4 separate regions of the Mus musculus genome follow, and all the other regions are reported to be linked to region 2. The links are microRNA targets in miRTarBase. Many come from high-throughput screens and were not tested one by one. Region 2 holds a microRNA gene; each other region holds the end of a gene's coding sequence. Distances are from middle to middle.

The links. Region 2 holds the annotated microRNA mmu-miR-466p-5p (UAUGUGUGUGUACAUGUACAU, at 1,982-2,002, shown strand). A microRNA usually pairs through its seed, bases 2 to 8, with sites in the 3' UTR of a target mRNA and lowers its output. Matches are read on the target gene's strand: a 7mer-m8 pairs with bases 2 to 8, a 7mer-A1 pairs with bases 2 to 7 and ends in A, and an 8mer does both.
Region 1: the mRNA of D630003M21Rik is a reported target of mmu-miR-466p-5p. The part of its 3' UTR that is shown has no 7-base or 8-base seed match.
Region 3: miRTarBase lists Slc5a8 as a target of mmu-miR-466p-5p. Seed matches in the 3' UTR shown: 7mer-m8 at 3,422-3,428 and 8mer at 2,068-2,075.
Region 4: the mRNA of Steap2 is a reported target of mmu-miR-466p-5p. Seed matches in the 3' UTR shown: 7mer-A1 at 1,763-1,769 and 8mer at 1,189-1,196.

The regions. Positions count from the first base shown.
Region 1 is chr2:158,192,236-158,196,235 of GRCm38, forward strand. It overlaps D630003M21Rik (RIKEN cDNA D630003M21 gene), which reads right to left. Exons shown (of 14, transcript NM_177657.5): 14 at 3,513-4,000. The coding sequence ends at 3,726. It overlaps 1700060C20Rik (RIKEN cDNA 1700060C20 gene), which reads left to right. Exons shown (of 3, transcript NR_036606.2): 2 at 1,876-2,033; 3 at 3,120-3,502. Among named protein-coding and RNA genes, the nearest start is that of 1700060C20Rik, 2.2 kb to the left of the region's middle.
Region 2 is chr2:10,504,039-10,508,658 of GRCm38, forward strand. It overlaps Mir466p (microRNA 466p), which reads left to right and starts at 1,968; the gene lies at 1,968-2,056. All of the region lies in intron 10 of Sfmbt2 (Scm-like with four mbt domains 2), which reads left to right. Mir467e (microRNA 467e) reads left to right here and starts at 1,683; the gene lies at 1,683-1,769. Mir467d (microRNA 467d) reads left to right here and starts at 3,592; the gene lies at 3,592-3,676. It also overlaps Mir466.
Region 3 is chr10:88,926,032-88,930,031 of GRCm38, reverse strand. Slc5a8 (solute carrier family 5 (iodide transporter), member 8) reads right to left here. Exons shown (of 15, transcript NM_145423.2): 15 at 517-3,822. The coding sequence ends at 3,697. Among named protein-coding and RNA genes, the nearest start is that of Slc5a8, 42 kb to the right of the region's middle.
Region 4 is chr5:5,670,185-5,674,184 of GRCm38, forward strand. It overlaps Steap2 (six transmembrane epithelial antigen of prostate 2), which reads right to left. Exons shown (of 6, transcript NM_001103156.2): 6 at 1-3,512. The coding sequence ends at 3,225. All of the region lies in intron 1 of Gm40262 (a long non-coding RNA gene), which reads left to right. Among named protein-coding and RNA genes, the nearest start is that of Gm40262, 7.8 kb to the left of the region's middle.

The DNA.
Region 1 (4,000 bases), 150 Mb from region 2:
CCAATTAATTTTTTACTACCACAGAAAGGCTTAGTGCTGAGCTTGGTGATCCAGATATCAGTGTCTTGACCCAGCAGGCTTGTCAACCCATTTGATAGATGGGAATATGGAGAGTAGCCTTCTACTGAAAACACCAGGCTAGGGAGCCTGGGTTCAAGGCCACAGCTTTGTGTTTCCCAAGGTGGAAAGGGTTTCCATCCAATCCAGAGCACCCATTTGATAAATAAGGGAGTCTGGCTATCAGAGATAAGGAGCCATTTGCCCAGGGTTGCTTTGACATCTCAGGCTATGATCCTTCAGCTGTCCCCAGCCTCCCGTTTCCTCGGGCAGGAAAGGGGCCCCGAGACAGTGGGGTAATTGGTCACATCGCTGGCCTACTTAAGGGTCTGTATGAGCTCCACTTTTCTTCCCCCACAGCAGGCTATAAACCTTTGCCTAAAGTCCCATGGAGGAACACCACAGCCTCCATCTCTCAGAGCAGCCTCTGGGGACAAGGCTTTGCTATTTGAAGCTGTGGCCACGGGGCTACTTCACATGCATGGGAACTCTTTGCCATGTTTCCACCTTGCCAATAAATTAAGTCCCTGTGGTCTTCAAGAGCCTACTGGGGATTCAGAAAACACAGGAAGCCACATGACTTGGAAAGACAGAGTTGGGGGAGTCAGTAGGGGATTTTGCTGGGGCTCTGAAGAGAGTGCTTCCTGGATATTCCAGGTAACAATAACAGGGGCTGGCGGGGCTGGTGCCAAAGCTATGCATCTAGCTACCATTTAGTGAGCAGTTACTATGTTCCAGTGTCTATCTGAGGAATTCCCACAAGCCAACTCCCAGCAAGCCTCTGAGGCCCTGCAATTTTCAATCTACAAGTAAGGAAACCAAGAAACAGAGAGGTACTTCATTTAGCTAAGGACACACAGCCTGTGACTGATGCAGCCTGGGCAGTCAACTCAACTCAGGTCCTCATGGTTAACCATTCTCTAGGTCTGCTCCTGTTCCACCAGAGGTCCTGGTGTAAGTACAGCCCAGAGAACCAGGACTCCCAGCACATGCTTATGGCCAAGGACAACAGGAACACAAAAGAGACAAACCCACAGCCACCGGCACCCAGCAATCAGATCAGTGTCACATGTAAGGTCCACATCAGTCACTTGCTGTCACATCAGAGAAGACATCCCTATGCCCCTAAGAAGTCTTGGCTTCCTCCTCTGGAAAATGATAGGAAATTGATGCCGACTCCACAGGGCTGTGGGGATGCAGTCGGTCAGCTGAGCAGACTTGCAGAGTTTTTAAGGATCTCAGCACAAAGCTGGATGCAACCGAGACACCAGCTGATTCCTCGTTTTTTTTATTGTTAAATTCTTGCGGGTATACGCACGTGCACTTGAGAGCTATTGCCTGTACACATGGAGGCCATACGTGGACGTCCCCACCTTGCTCTGTCTCTCACGGAACCTGGAGCTCACTGATTCAGCTAGGCTGGCAGGCCAGTGAGCCTGGGGCCCTGCCTGTCTCCTCCATCCCACTGCTCAGGCTGATAGGCATGTACTGCCACGCCACACTGGCGACCTGATGCTTGCACAGTAAGAACTTCACAAGCACTTCACCCACTGAGCCATCTACCCAGCCCCTCCTTTGTTTTTGAATATCATTCCCCCATATTCTATGTCTATGCCCCTTCTCCCGAGGAGCCGCTGTGAGCAGGTCAGTAATTGAGGTTCAACCCTTTTTGGAAACAGGAGAATGTGCAAGACCTTGGGGGCCCCTCCTACCTAACGATCCTAGGCTCACCCATCCTTCCCCCCTCCCTCATCCTGTCCTCATTCCCAGCAGTGGTTGTGGGTCTAGCTAAAGGCAGTTTGCATTCTTTCTCCCCAGGTTTCCTGCACCAAGCCTGTGGTCTCCACTGGCTGGATGCTGTTGCTATGGTAACAACGGCTTAAGAGCCTTAGGCCCCCCTCTGGGGTGACAGGCTTGGATGGAGATGGCTGATCAAATTCCTGGAGCATCCTCAGCCTTCTGGATGCAGGGCTTGGGTGAGGAATGCTAAGCTGAGCTGCCTGGAGTCTGGAGCCCCAAGAACTTCCCGAGGGAACCACCCTAGGTTTCCAGAGTCCCCTGAAATTCACGTGTTGGAAACTTGAGAGATGGAGGTGGAAAGGTCAAAAGGGTGCATGCTGTCCTCCCTCAAGATTAACGTGGGAGTGGGCTTCTCATAAGGATGTGTTTGGCCCTTCCCCCTCTTCACATAAGCTCCATCTACAGGTGACACCTGCACTGAAGGTGGTTCTCACAAGAGGCAGCCCCTTAATCTTGGACTTCCCAGTCCCTAAAACTGTCAATCCAAAAAACTTCCATTGTTTGTAAGTCATACAGCCCATGGCGATCTGTGATAGCAGCAGACTAGACCGCAACCACCTAGAAAACACGGAGCAGGTGGCCCCAGTACAGCCTCCAGCCTCCCCCAGGCTCAGAGCCTGGTTTTAGTGTGTCTACAGAGGGGATGCCAGTCCCTGGGCATCCTTCCTTACAATCAGTTTTACTGGTGGGTCTGAAGCAGGCAGACCTCAGGCTGTGCTTAGAGAAATCCACAGTCTTAGAGAAGATTCTTGAAGCTGTTTGGGGCTGAGATGTCTCCTGAGGCACCTCATCTTCCCAAGCATTGTTCAGGCTTTCTCTGTCCCTGTCTCATCCTCACTCGTGGCAGAATAGTTATCCTACTCTTCTCTCAGGGCTTGGAAAGTCAGCTGGGGCTGCCAGGAGGCCATCTCAGGAGTGAAGCCGGATTTAGAGCCCTGTGAATAGTTCCAGCATGTCAGTGCTTAAAGGTGGCGCTAGGGGGCGCTATGCAGCCCTGTAAAAAGCTAGGTGCTGTAGCTCTAATAGTCTTTGTTCATTGTACCCACCCTCACCAGCTTTCAAAGACTGTACTACCCCCCCCCTCCACCGTTTCCCCTGATGATTCAGCACAGCTGGCACTGAAAGTGGGATTGGAGATGAGGTAACACTCCCTGGGGCGTCGATGGATCGCAAGGACAAGATTTGGTGTGGTTCTTTGAGTCTGAGCTGGGGACCCTGGTCCCTGGGGAGAACTCTGCATCAATCAGTTTCTTCCCCTCCAGGTTGCTGCCCTTTGCCCACCAGAGTCAGCTCCTGGGAGTATGCATGCTGTGATGCTCCACCTCAGACGGGCGTCTCAAGAGTCCAGCTGTTGTCCTTGCTGTCTCCTGATTGGCCTCAGCTGGATGGAACTTGCCTGACAAATGCTCTTAAATTCCCTCCCTCTGCCTATCCTCCTCCCGGTGGCTCCTGGGGTCACTGCCAAATGCAAAGTCCTTGTTTTAGGGTCTGTTAATCTAGGGCTCAAGACAAGAGGCCCTGCCCACTACTTTGTTATCCAAGTGAGTGGCAGTTTGGGCTGCCTAAGGACAATTCCTTGACAAGGTAACCCCGGCCAGCTTTGCCATATGAGACTCTGCAGTCTCAACCCTCAATAAAACAAAAACAAAAACAAAAACAAAAAAAACTCCTTTTATTGAGTCTGGATTCTAATTCCCACACGCACTGTTCAGTGTGGGTAACAATCCATTGTCTTGGAGCTTTCTGGAGCCAGAAGGCGGTCCTAACATTGCACCATGGCCATGTTTGATGAGGTGGCATGGGCTCTGCAGATCCCTCTGTCAATCCTGTCACAGCCCCCCAGAGCTGGTGTGGTGGTTCAGGTCCAGTTAGAGGGACGCAGGAGGACTTGTGTGGGGTGAGTCCTCCAGGGATGTCTGTGATCCTGTCCCTTCTGAGGAAAAGCTTCCCCCAGTTGGACGGGAGGCCTTGCTCTGCTTGGGAAGGTGGGGCCAGGAGAAGAGGGAGGCAAGGAGCCGCTCCAGGGTGGGATCGGGGAGCTTGGGGGTGCCCCTGACTTCCTCAGTGTCCCCAGACTGGCCAGGTTCTGGGGATAGCAGGCCTGCCCACATGTTTCTGCTCTGCTCCCCTTGAGGGGTCCGCT
Region 2 (4,620 bases):
GTTAGAGATCATCCTGGTATTCATGTGATGCCTCCCATGAATGTGCATGTGTGTTTACTTGTATGTGCATTATCTCTGTTGACATGCTATATATAACATAAACACACGTGTATATGCAAGCACACACACACACAGGAAAAAATTGCATTCATTTATACGTTTGAATGATGTGTGACTTAAAGTTTTCAAGATTATGCAGTAGTGGGACAGTGAATGGTTTTACTCACCAGGTGTGAAAGATTGTGGATCAGGAGTTCTAATTCATGCTTTACTTCATGATGACTTAGAGATATGCCTGGGATTCATGTGATGCCCCCTATGTATCTCTATCTGTATCTGTTTCTATTGTGTGTGGATTTGAGTATATGGATGTACCTATCTACACAAATATATACATGTACACAGACACAAACAGAAACACACACACAAACATCAGTGCAACTCATCGATCCATTTGAATGATATGTGATTTAGAGTTTTAAGATTCCTCAGTACTGAATGGGGAGAGGTCTCACTCAGCAGGTGAAATCCCTTGACAGTGTCAGTTGGATCAGGAGTTCAAATTCGTGCTGAATTTCATGATGAGTTCATGATTAGCATGGGATTCATCTTATGCCCACCAAAAATGTGCAAGTGTGTATAGTTGTGTGCATATTCACTTCTGTATATGAATATGCATATACACGCATGCACACACATTCATAGGAATGGCCAGAGCTATGTCTCAGTTAGGAGGTGAGCACTCTTGCCAGAGTCAGGAGGATGACGAGTTCAAATTCATGTTTAACTCACATTGAGTTAGAGATCAGCATGCGATTCGTGTGATGTCCTCCAAATATGTGCATGTGAGTATAGTTGTGTGCATATTCACTTTTATACATGAATATGCATATATACTCATGCACATACACGAATGTCACTCATATATTTTTTTGAATGTTATGTGACTCAGAGATTTAGAGCTTATGCAGTACTGGTCCAGAGCTATGCCTCAGTTAGGAGGTGAATACTCTTGCCAGAGTCAGGAGGATATGAAGTTCAAATTAATGTTTAACTTCATGATGAGTTATAGATAAGGCTGTAATTTATGTTTTTGCCTCTGTGTACGTGTATATGTCTATAGGTAAGTGTGCTTGTACATGTGGGTATATGTATATGCATATATATACACATATATGGACACATACATGTGTACACAAATACACATGGCAATCATCCATTTGATTTATATGTGCTTAGAGTTTTATAGAGTGCATATTCATGGGACAGGAAACATCTCATTAATCAGATGCAAACCATTTGCCAGAGTCAGGAGGATCTGGAGTTCAAATTCATGTTTAACTTCATGATGAGTTAGAAATCGTACTGGATTTATGTGATGGACCCTAGGTATGTGCATGTGTGTGTAACTTTGTGTGAATGTACATGTATGCATATAATTATACATATACATACACATGCATGCACACATACAGACTTGAATACTCACACACATAAGTATGACTCTCATTGATCAATTTGAATGATATATGTCATTGAATTTTATTGATTATGAAGTAGAAGGACACTGAATGGTCTCACTCAACAGGTGTAAAAAATTGACAGTGTCAAGAGGATCAGGTGTTTAATTTCATGCTTAACTTCATGAAAGAGTGGTGCAATGTGATGGTCCCTATGTATGTGCCTGTGTGCATAAGTGTGAGCATGTATATGTGTGTATATTTTATGCATATACATACACACACCTATATACACATGCACACAGACATGCGGGAATGGCCCTCACGGATCCATTTGAATGATATGTGACCTACTGCTTTGGAGGTTATGTATGACTGGGCCAGAGTGAGGTCTCACAAACCACGGGAAAACCCTTGGTAGAGTCGGGAAGATCAGGAGTGCAAGTTCATGGTAAAGGCATGATGAGTTAGAGGTCATCCTGGCATTCATGTGATTGCCCCTATGTATGTGTATATGTGTTTATGTGTGTGTACATGTACATGTGTGAATATGATGATATATACATACACGCACACATAAGACACATATGAGCACACAGACACACAGGAATGGCACTCACTCATCGATCTATGTGACTGTGAGCTTTGGAGATTATGTATGACTAGATCAGGGAGAGTTATCACCCATCATATTAAAAATGCTTGTTTAAATCAGGAGGTCAGGAGGTCAAATTCATGCTTTATTTCATGATGACTTAGAGATCTGCCTGGGAATCATGTGATGCCCCCATGTATGTGTATATGTGTGTAACTGTGTGTGGATTTGTGTACATGAATATACATACCTACACACACGTAGACCCATACACAGACACACATATGAATGCCACTCCTCAGTCCATTTGAATGATATGTGACTTAGAGTTTTAAGATTCCTCAGTACTGAATAGGGAGAGGTCTCACTCAGCAGGTGAAATCCCTTGCCAGAGTCAGGTGGATCAGGAGTTCAAATTTGTGCTGAATTTCATGATGAGTTGGAAATCAGCACGGGATTCATGTGATGCCCACCAAGAATGTGCATGTGTGTATAGTTGTGTGCATATTCATTTCTCTATATGAATATGCATATGCACACATGCACACACATTCATAGGAATGGCCAGAGTTATTTCTTAGGTAGGAGGTGAATAATCTTGCTAGAGTCAGGAGAATATGGTGTTCAAGTTTATGTTTAACTTCATGATGCATTAGAGATCAGCATGTGTTTCATTGATGCACACCAAAATGTGCATGTGTGTGTAGTTGTGTGCATATTCACTTCTCTATGTGAATATGCATATACACACATGCAGACACAGGAATGGCACTCATATATCCTTTGGAATGGTATGTGACTCAGAGCTTTAGAGCTTATGCAGTGCTGGGCCAGAGCTATGTCTCAGTTAGGAGGTGGATGCTCTTGCCAGCGTCAGGAGGTCCCAGAGTTCAAATTCATGTTTAACTTCCTGATGAGTTACAGATCAGCCTGTTATTCATGTGATTGTTTCTGTGTATGTGTATAGATAAGTTTGTCTGTACATGCGGATATATGAAAAGACATATATTGACACATATTCACACATGCATGCATACAGAAACACATGGCAGTCATCCATAAGTTTTATATGTGCTTAGAATTTCATAGAGTGTATATTTATGGTACAGTGAAATATCTCGCCAACTAGATGAAAACCGCTTGCCAGAATCAGAAGTCTTGGAGTTCAGAATCATGCTTAACTTAATGATCAGTTAGTGATCATCCTGGATTCGTGTGATGGACCCTAGGTATGTACATGCACACATAATTTTGTGTGCATGTACATGTGTGTATATGATTATACATAACACACACACACACACACACACGTATAAAAGCAAGCACACACACACCAAGGTATGGCATTCATCGATCCATTTGAATGATATATGTCTTAGAATGTTACTGATTATGCAGTAGAAGGACAGTGAATGGTCTCACTCACAAGGTGTAAACAATTGGCATTGTCAGGAGGATCAGGAGTTCAATTTCATGCTTAACTTCATGAGCAGTTAGAGATCATCCTGGAATAATGTGATGGCCCCTATGTATGTGCCTGTGTGCATAAGTGCGCGCATGTATATGCGTGTATATTTTATGCATATACATACACACACCTACACACACATGCACACAGACATGCGGGAATGGCCCTCACGGATCCATTTGAATGATATGTGACCTACTGCTTTGGAGGTTATGTATGACTGGGCCAGGGTGAGGTCTCACAAACCACGGGAAAACCCTTGGTAGAGTCGGGAAGATCAGGAGTGCAAGTTCATGGTAAAGGCATGATGAGTTAGAGGTCATCCTGGCATTCATGTGATTGCCCCTATGTATGTGTATATGTGTTTATGTGTGTGTACATGTACATATGTGAATATGATATCCATATACATACACGCACACATAAGACACATATGAGCACACAGGCACACAGGAATGGCACTCACTCATTGATCTATGTGACTGTGAGCTTTGGAGATTATGTGTGACTAGGTCAGGGAGAGTTATCACCCATCATGTTAAAAATGCTTGTTAGAATCAGGAGGTCAGGAGTTCAAATTCATGCTTTATTTCATGATGACTTAGAGATCTGCCTGGGAATCATGTGATGTCCCCATGTATGTGTATATGTGTGTAACTGTGTGTGGATTGTGTATATGAATATACATACCTACACACACATAGACCCATCCACAGACACAGACACACACACGCATGCCACTCCTCAGTCCATTTGAATGATATGTGACTTAGAGTTTTAGAGATTCTGCAGTACTCAATAGGGAGAGGTCTCACACCACAGAGTCAGGTGGATCAAGAGTTCAAATTCATGTTTAACTTCATGATGAGTTAGAGATCAGCATGCTATTCATGTGATGACCATAAAGAATGTGCATGTGTGTATAGCTTTGTGCACATACACTTCTCTATATGAATATGCATATACACGCATGCACACACACTCACTCACAGGAATGGCCAGAGCTATGTCTCAGTTAACTTACCAGGTAAAACGCTTGCCTTTTGGATCAGCAGTTCAAATTCCTGAATAACTTCAAAATGACCTAGGGATCAGCC
Region 3 (4,000 bases), not on the chromosome of region 2:
GAGCTCATAGTTCTCAAAGTTCAAGGCATAGCTGAAGCGGCCGTGTGCTTCAGCCTCTGACGAAAATGACTCATCATAGCTGGGACGGGGAGAGAAGCAAGTGGTCAGAGCTTTAACACATCAGAAACAGAAGTAAGGATGATGGCATACACACAACAATCACTTCTGAGGGCATCAATGCTTATGATCTAAAGACATGCACTGGACCCTGCTCCCCACAGCCTCGGCCGTCTCCCAGGAATTCGACCCTGTGAACCAAGCTTTCATTCACAGCTGTTTGAGGTACAGTCAGCCAGCATGCAAACCCGGCATTTCTGCCTTCACATACAATGTTATTTAAAATATAAAATGGTCCTCGATGACAAAGTTGTACAAGTCCGTTTGCTTTCATATTTTATGACGTATACACAGTATTTACTTCAAGAGAGTCCCTTACGGAGTAAATAGGCAGGAAATGCCTTTGATAATGCTCATTATATCCAATCAGATTCTTACTCCAAGAACAGATAACTGCAATGATTTTTATGGAAATTTTAATCAGCAAATTGAAAAAAAAATAAGTTTGTAACCATATTTTACATAGAAATATTCAACTTTCCCAATATTTTCACAAACAGTGGTACAAAAGTTGACTCTAAATGCATCCAATGCGTTTTTAAGAGCTAAACGGACATGCACTAGGTTGCCCCCGTTCTCAGTGATGCTGGGAAGGAAGCCTAGGATCTTGCACAAGCTCAGTAAGAGTTTTACCGCTGAACCGCAGCCCTTTACCTTGGTTGCCTCCTTATCAACAATCTTCATGGGAAGATTCAGAGGGAATCAGTTCACAGAGTTCTTCAGTGTTTCTCAAGCTCAGCCCTACCCAATGTGTCTACATCATATGTTCAGCTTATTTCATGAAACAAACCACATGACGTGTGCTTTCCATAAGTAAGATGAAGTTCAGAGATCTTAGTAGTCATGTATTTCATAACATCCTAATGTGGGGCCATATTAGAAACCACGTAAAGGAGCTGAGCTGGCCAAAGACTGGTCTAAATAATTACCCACGACTTGTGAAAATGTGTTCACATTTCAGACTCCTCTGAAAGTGTGTGGTCATTATCCAGAGTGCTAATGGTACTTTCCTGAACCTAATTCCATACATGGCACCAGCAATCTCATTGGGGACACTTAAATGTCTCCACATGTCACCAGAGAAACACAATGACCCATGCTGGTAACTACTGGTCTCAAGAGAAAAAAAGAGAGCATGCAAACAATCCACTTACTGATAACATGACTCTGTGATGTTTTACACCTGACCTATAAAGTTTTCACCTCTCTGTAGGATGAATAGGACTGAATCATGTCTTTCTTTAAGGTTTATAGTCTTTCCTGTTGATTCTCAAATGTATTTTTACTCCTGTGGCACATATTTTTTAGGGAAGGGTTTTGTTTTTGTTTTTGTTTTGTTTTGTTTTTTTTACTTCATGATAGTAAAGATTCTTCTTAGTTCAAAAAAAACCTAGCAAATAATATTTGCCTCAAATCACTTGAGTTAATGAAATCCTGGTCTGTCAAAACTCAGGTCTTTCACACTACTTTTTTGAGGTGGGCAGCCTCATTCTTATATCAGCATTAAATGAAATTAAGGGCAAAGTCAAAGGCATACTTGTCAGCAGCAAGACACTGACAGACAACCTGTACAATTGTTTTCTTCCATTAAGGTTTTTGTGTTTTAATAAAACTAAGAAAAGATTATTTACTTTACATTGTAATATGCTGACATATCCCTCATATTTATATTAGTCCCATGTTTTAAAAGTTAAAAATAAATACTTTTTAAGTAATAGCAACATCTTTTGACTTTAAGAATTCTATCTGGCATTCCTGTGCATTTGTAAAAATAAGACAGTGGTATTTCCAAATCTCACAAGGATATACTTTGTCTTACAGGAAGTTGACAAACTCGTTTGGAATACCACTTCTCATGAAGAACACGTTGAGTAACCTTTGTGCAGTCAGATCAAAGAAAAAGTTAATCAAATAACCTGATTCTCATTGCCAAAACTGAAGCATCATGTGTATGTGTGTGTGTGTGTATGTATATGTATATTTTTTTTCAGAATCATCTAATAAATAACTATACTTCAAATCATAGTTATATAAGATTACATATATAAAATTACATAACCATGCTCATTAGAGTACTGCAAGATAATCACAAAACTTGATTTTTGTTTACAAATATAGTAATCAATAAATAGATCTATATACATAAGAAATACATGAATACATAGTTGATTCAAATGGCATATAAATCTCTTTGTTTCAGATAAATGCTAATATTTTTGATATTTTAGTTTTTATTATCAGTTAAGAGCCTTTAAAAGTAAATAGTATAGCCTTCAAATATAATAGACCAAAAATATGTATAAAATTATGAATTATTTTTAAAATATCAGTATTTCTTTTCTTAAAATATTGAAAACTTTTTAAAAATTTAAGCAATATCTAATGTGGGTATCATAGAAAAATAAGTTATTGATGAAACTCTGTAACACAAGTTTTAGCTATGAATGTAGCCAAATAAATGGCTAAGAACTTTGAAATTACTGCTTGAAATCTTAGAAAATAGAAAAAAAGCATGCATTTAATAACCTGAAACATGTGAAAAAATAAAGAAGTATTTCCCTATGAAGTTCTTTAACTATATGAATTAGTAATTCAACTTAACAGCATTAAAAGCAATTGTGCGACTCCATGGGACTTCACCGTTTTCAAATATTTAATGTTCTTGGGTTACCCAATACACAAGAAGCATGTGTTAGCACAGGATGGGATCTGGGGACTGAAGGAAAGAGGTGACATAGTTTATATTGGATGTCTCAAGACATATCTAAACCCAGGGCAAAAAGCAAGAAGCTGGAACAGTTAAGTCCAGGTAACATGCTCTACAAAAGCAAGGTTATTAGAACAGAAGTTGGGAATAAAGATTAAAAATTATAGTCGATAGTTGATAGTCTACAGTCAATGGTCTATAATCTATAGTCAATAGTCTATGAAAAGCACTGTACTTGGCAATTGTCAGGAATCTCAGCAGAGGAAAAACAGGCACAAGAATGCATTAAAGATGAACTTGATCGTTGGGTACCTAGTGTATCCTAGGCAGGATGCTGCTATTTACCCATTCAGAGGCAGACTCAGAGGCAAGGTTATAGCATGGGCTGATCCAGAAGTAAAGTCCACAGAAGTGCTCTACTCCTCCTCCTGTCCCTGCTGCCTAGAAACAGGATATTCAGGGGGAGGAAAGAAATCTCTTTCCAAGATTTATTATTCTAGTAAAGTTCCCAGAATATACATATACTAGCACCAAAGGCATGTAAAATGTTTTCAGTAATGCCCAAACGTAAGAATATGCCTTTGATTATCAAGAACCATGTGTGTATGTCTGTATTTGCCTTTCACACATGTATGTAGTTATAAACATCCACAACCAGAGCTCGTGTTGAAACTCCTAACTCCAGGATAGCATCAATCAACCAGTGTATAAAGTGAGCCAAATCGGGATTTGGCTTTAATAAAATATATCTTCCAAAAACAATCATGATAGGAAAAAACTGATCTGATCCAACTATCCTAAAACATGTTTAAAGAAAAGCAAAACAAAAACAAAACAGACATTATACAATGTCATCTAGCCCTGGAGATGCTTCACAAGCGAGTCCCATTGATCTTGCCACTGTGATCTGTGAAGTTCAGCTCAACATGGTTGAAGGCAGGGTTATCAGTTCCACCAACTTCCACAGGATGCAATTTATAGTTTAAAACATGATTCCTCTGAAAGATAAAGGGTAACATGGAAATTTTTTTTAAAAATCATTATTTGTTCAATGACAGATAACTGATACCAACTTTTTATTTCTCTAAATCAGCTTGGTAATCCACTAAGGGAGAGTGAAATGCAAACATACACAAGGCAGCAGAAGCTAGCGTGGTATACGATATGCATTTGAGC
Region 4 (4,000 bases), not on the chromosome of region 2:
TTAACTGTAAGTAGGAATATATTTTTATCAAATTAATAATTAATTTTGAAAGTAAAATTCTTCAGTCAAACTTGAAGTTATGCTTATTTATAAGAATCCAGCAGTTACACATGGACACATCAGCACCTTCTATAATGTACAAAATAATTAGCTCTGATAAATAATCAAAATTTACTCACACTTTATAATGTTTTAAAATTTTAAATAGAAAGCTCATGGAGATTCTCTGAGCTAAATTTCAGTGTATCTTCTTAAAATGGATGGATACATTTATTATTTAAATGTGGTTTTAAATATTCTTAATAAAGGAGAGAAGAAATCTGCACAAAAGTTAAGTAGCATGATACATGTTATATGGGTTTTTCCCTCAGGAAAAATTATTTGGCTGTCGTTACAGAGGACTGAGACGGGTTCTGTTTTCTACACTCCCATCATTTCGTCTCTTGTCCTACTCAAGACAAACATCAGGAAACACATGTTCACTCCCTTAAAGTCTCCCTACCTTCTCTCCACCCCTAAAAGCTTTAAATTCTATTTCATTGACGTGTGTGTGTGTGTGTGTGTGTGTGTGTGTGTGTGTGTGTGTGTGTGTATGACAGAGAGAGATACACAGAGAGACAGAGACAGAGAAAAGGAGGAAGGAGACCATGAGTGTGCTTGTCAGAGGACAACGAGTCCGTGCTCTGACCCCACATCCATCCCAGGGGTCAGACTTCTCCATCCCAGAGGTCAGGCCTTTCAGCACTTAGAATTGCAAGGACTATATTACATTTATTCTAAAAACGAAAGCTATTCCGTTTTGGTAGCATTCCAAAGAAAAAGTGTCATTTGAAATTAAATTCATAGCTTTTACATAATTTCATATTTTCAAAGGTCCCATGTATGTATATTAGCAATAATTTTATATTACAGGCTTCCTATCATATGCATAACAATGTACTTTAATCATCTAACTTTTAGAAATATTTCATTGTATTTCCACATTTAATTGCCTTACAGTAAAGTTCAAGAAGTAAGCAAGTATTAAAAACACATTGCTATTTTTCACTAGTTCATGACAGTACCGGTATGTAAGTATGTATGTATGTATGTATGTATGTATGTATGTATGTGCTATACAGTGTCTCACTGCATATGTATGTATGTATGCATGTATGTACTTAGTGTCTCGCTTTGTACTTATGTATGTATGTGTGTATGTATGTATGTAAGCATGTATGTATGTACTTAGAAAGTGTCTCGCGGTGATGGCCTGGAACTCACAGTGTGGACCAGGCTCATCTCTAACTCACAGAGAACAGCCTGCATCTGCCTCCTGAGTGCTGAGACTAAAGGCATGAGCCACCACACCCAGCTTGTTGGTATTTACTGTTAAAAGTCATGAATGTACTGAATTCCTACAAAAATTGATTATGATTAATATAATGAAGATGAGGTGTTCAATATTACATTTGGCCAAGAAGACAACATCAAAGAGTAGTGGGCTATTTTCCAGGCCAGCAGTACAAGGATAGGAAAACAGACAATGGTGGGAAAGATAGGTTCCACAAAAATAAGAGTCCTTTTATTTCTGATGGTTGGATTCAAGTCAGTAGGTAACTTTAGAGGTGATACAATTTTAGGAAGAATACACACAATTACATCTTGTCTAGAACTTTTACTGTAATAAAAAAGGAACAAATGGAGAAAATGTAATATACCCTAATGTTTGAACAAAATGCAGTTTACACAAGGAAGACCAGCACTGACAAATTTTGTTAATTATGTGTCCAGGGACACATAATCATATAGATTTATAATTAACCACTTGTCCTAATATCCTTTGTGCTTAAAAACAGTTTCCTAATGAACAGCAGTAAAGGGAGGGGCTTCTCAGGAGGAGAAAGGACATGGCCACCTTATGGAAAATTTTAAAGAGCTACAGGATCTTAATAGTTCATCCACACTGTTAGGAGCCTTCTCCCTGCTCGGTCTGCACTGCATGGGGAGGCTTTGTGCTACTATGGGTTTCCAGGCAACTATGGACTACCCACAAGTAATAATAAAATTATGACTGAGATACTTTTAGATATCCTTTGATGCACACGACATACTCCAAAGACTGCCAATGACTCTACCAGAAAGGAACCATCAAGGCTGGCGTCGAGAATGTAGTACATGGAGATGGATCGGGGGTTGTGTATACTGATGTTTATAAAGCCGTGGGTCCTGACGAATGACTCCCTAGGATGGCTGCTCACTGTGTGACCTCAGGAAAATTTAATTCTTCTGTCCTTCAGTTTTCCATATGGGAAATGAAGATAACTATTTCATGGGTTTGTTGTAAGTATTAATTGGGCAAGTGTTTACAACCATTCCATACTCCCTCAGTGGATGTCGATAAAATCCACACAGGAAGGGTGGTGACTGGCCAAAGTAACATATAGACTGACGTGTGACAATTACTTTCATTGTAACTAAGGACAGGCCCACAATACCGTATTCAGAGTACCTGCTTGGGAGGTCAAGTGTTGCTAGATCCTTCCCGATTGACATAAACAGGAAGATGGAAGGGTTCTGTAATGTGATAGAGACTAAAGCTCTCGTGAGTTATGCATTGGTATGTTGTATCTCCAGTGCACATTCAATACAATTTTTCATTTGTCTTTAATTTGTGCTCACATACTCACAGTGCTGTGTATAATGGATGACATCCTTCCTGTCCCATTTTTATGAGAGCATAAGATTGCTCCTGCATACCCTAGATGCTAATGTGATGTGCCCCTTCTCAATAATATATGATTATGCATTTCTGCTCCTTAAATTGAATAGTAATTAAAATCTTTAGCCTTGGGGAAAGAGCATGTCCACTGAGTAATGTTAAAAGCTTCTAATTCTGCTGTTTTGCCAAGTGTTCTAAACATTATATCTCATCTGTATTATTAAGTACAAATATTTGTGCCCAACTATGCAATATGGTTAAAAGAACAACAGTGTTACAGTTGCACAAAGGAAATTTCTAGATTGTAACAATAGATGTGGACTACAAAATTGCATGTTGGAAAAATATGACATTTATAAAAATTAACTTGAAGAGAATCCAATCTCTCCTTCTGCTGAAAACTTACTGCAGGTTTCAGACTGCAGGACTGCCAATCAACAGCCCGCTGACAGGGACCAAGGCGAGGGCCTAAAGTAATGGCATGGATGGAAGTGTGTGTGGCTTCTGCGAGCACCTCTTGTCATCACATCACTGTGACCCTCTCTGGGGACAGATGAGGAACCGCTCCTCCCATGCCTTCGTCTAGAAACTGGCTCTTTTCCCAGCCCTTTTTAATTCGTTTTAGCTTTCGGCTTATGCATGGGAGGAGTAATATCATCTTACCCAGAATTACAATGGAGGGCAAAACGAGGGCAAGAACGAAGTTTGGTGGTGTGTAAAAGCGGTAGTACTCTTCTGCAAACGCACGCTTCCATCCGTAAATTAACACGTGGAAGGTCGTGATGAGCAGGGCGACGTAGCCAAGCGTAGACTTGAGATGGGAGAGGAAGAGAGAAGAGGTCCATTACTCACCCACATAACAACCTCTGCAGATACCCTGTTGATTTTTCAATCTTCAGTGAACTACTGTCTTCTGAATTGGGCAATTTAAGGCAGTTGCATAAATTCCTATACACTTATTTGCAGTACAGCAATCTTGCACAAATCAGATCATGTTGAATAAACTGAATAATCTCATTAACTAATTCATTATATCACAAGGTTTTCTGTGCCCTATCAAAACACATCATGAATTTTGTGTGGTTTTATTTGAATGGTTACAGTTTAACCCTTCCTTTGTGTTGATCATTCTGATCTTAACTTTCTTCAACTATAAATAATACCACTGTAGCCCTCGTATATTCTGACTTCTATCCTTGGACTGATTCTACTACTAGGATTAGTGATCAGCGCATCTAGCTTTTCTCTAATGGTAAAGATATGCCTGGTGTCCATGTTTTATCAAGGTTTGTACAGAAG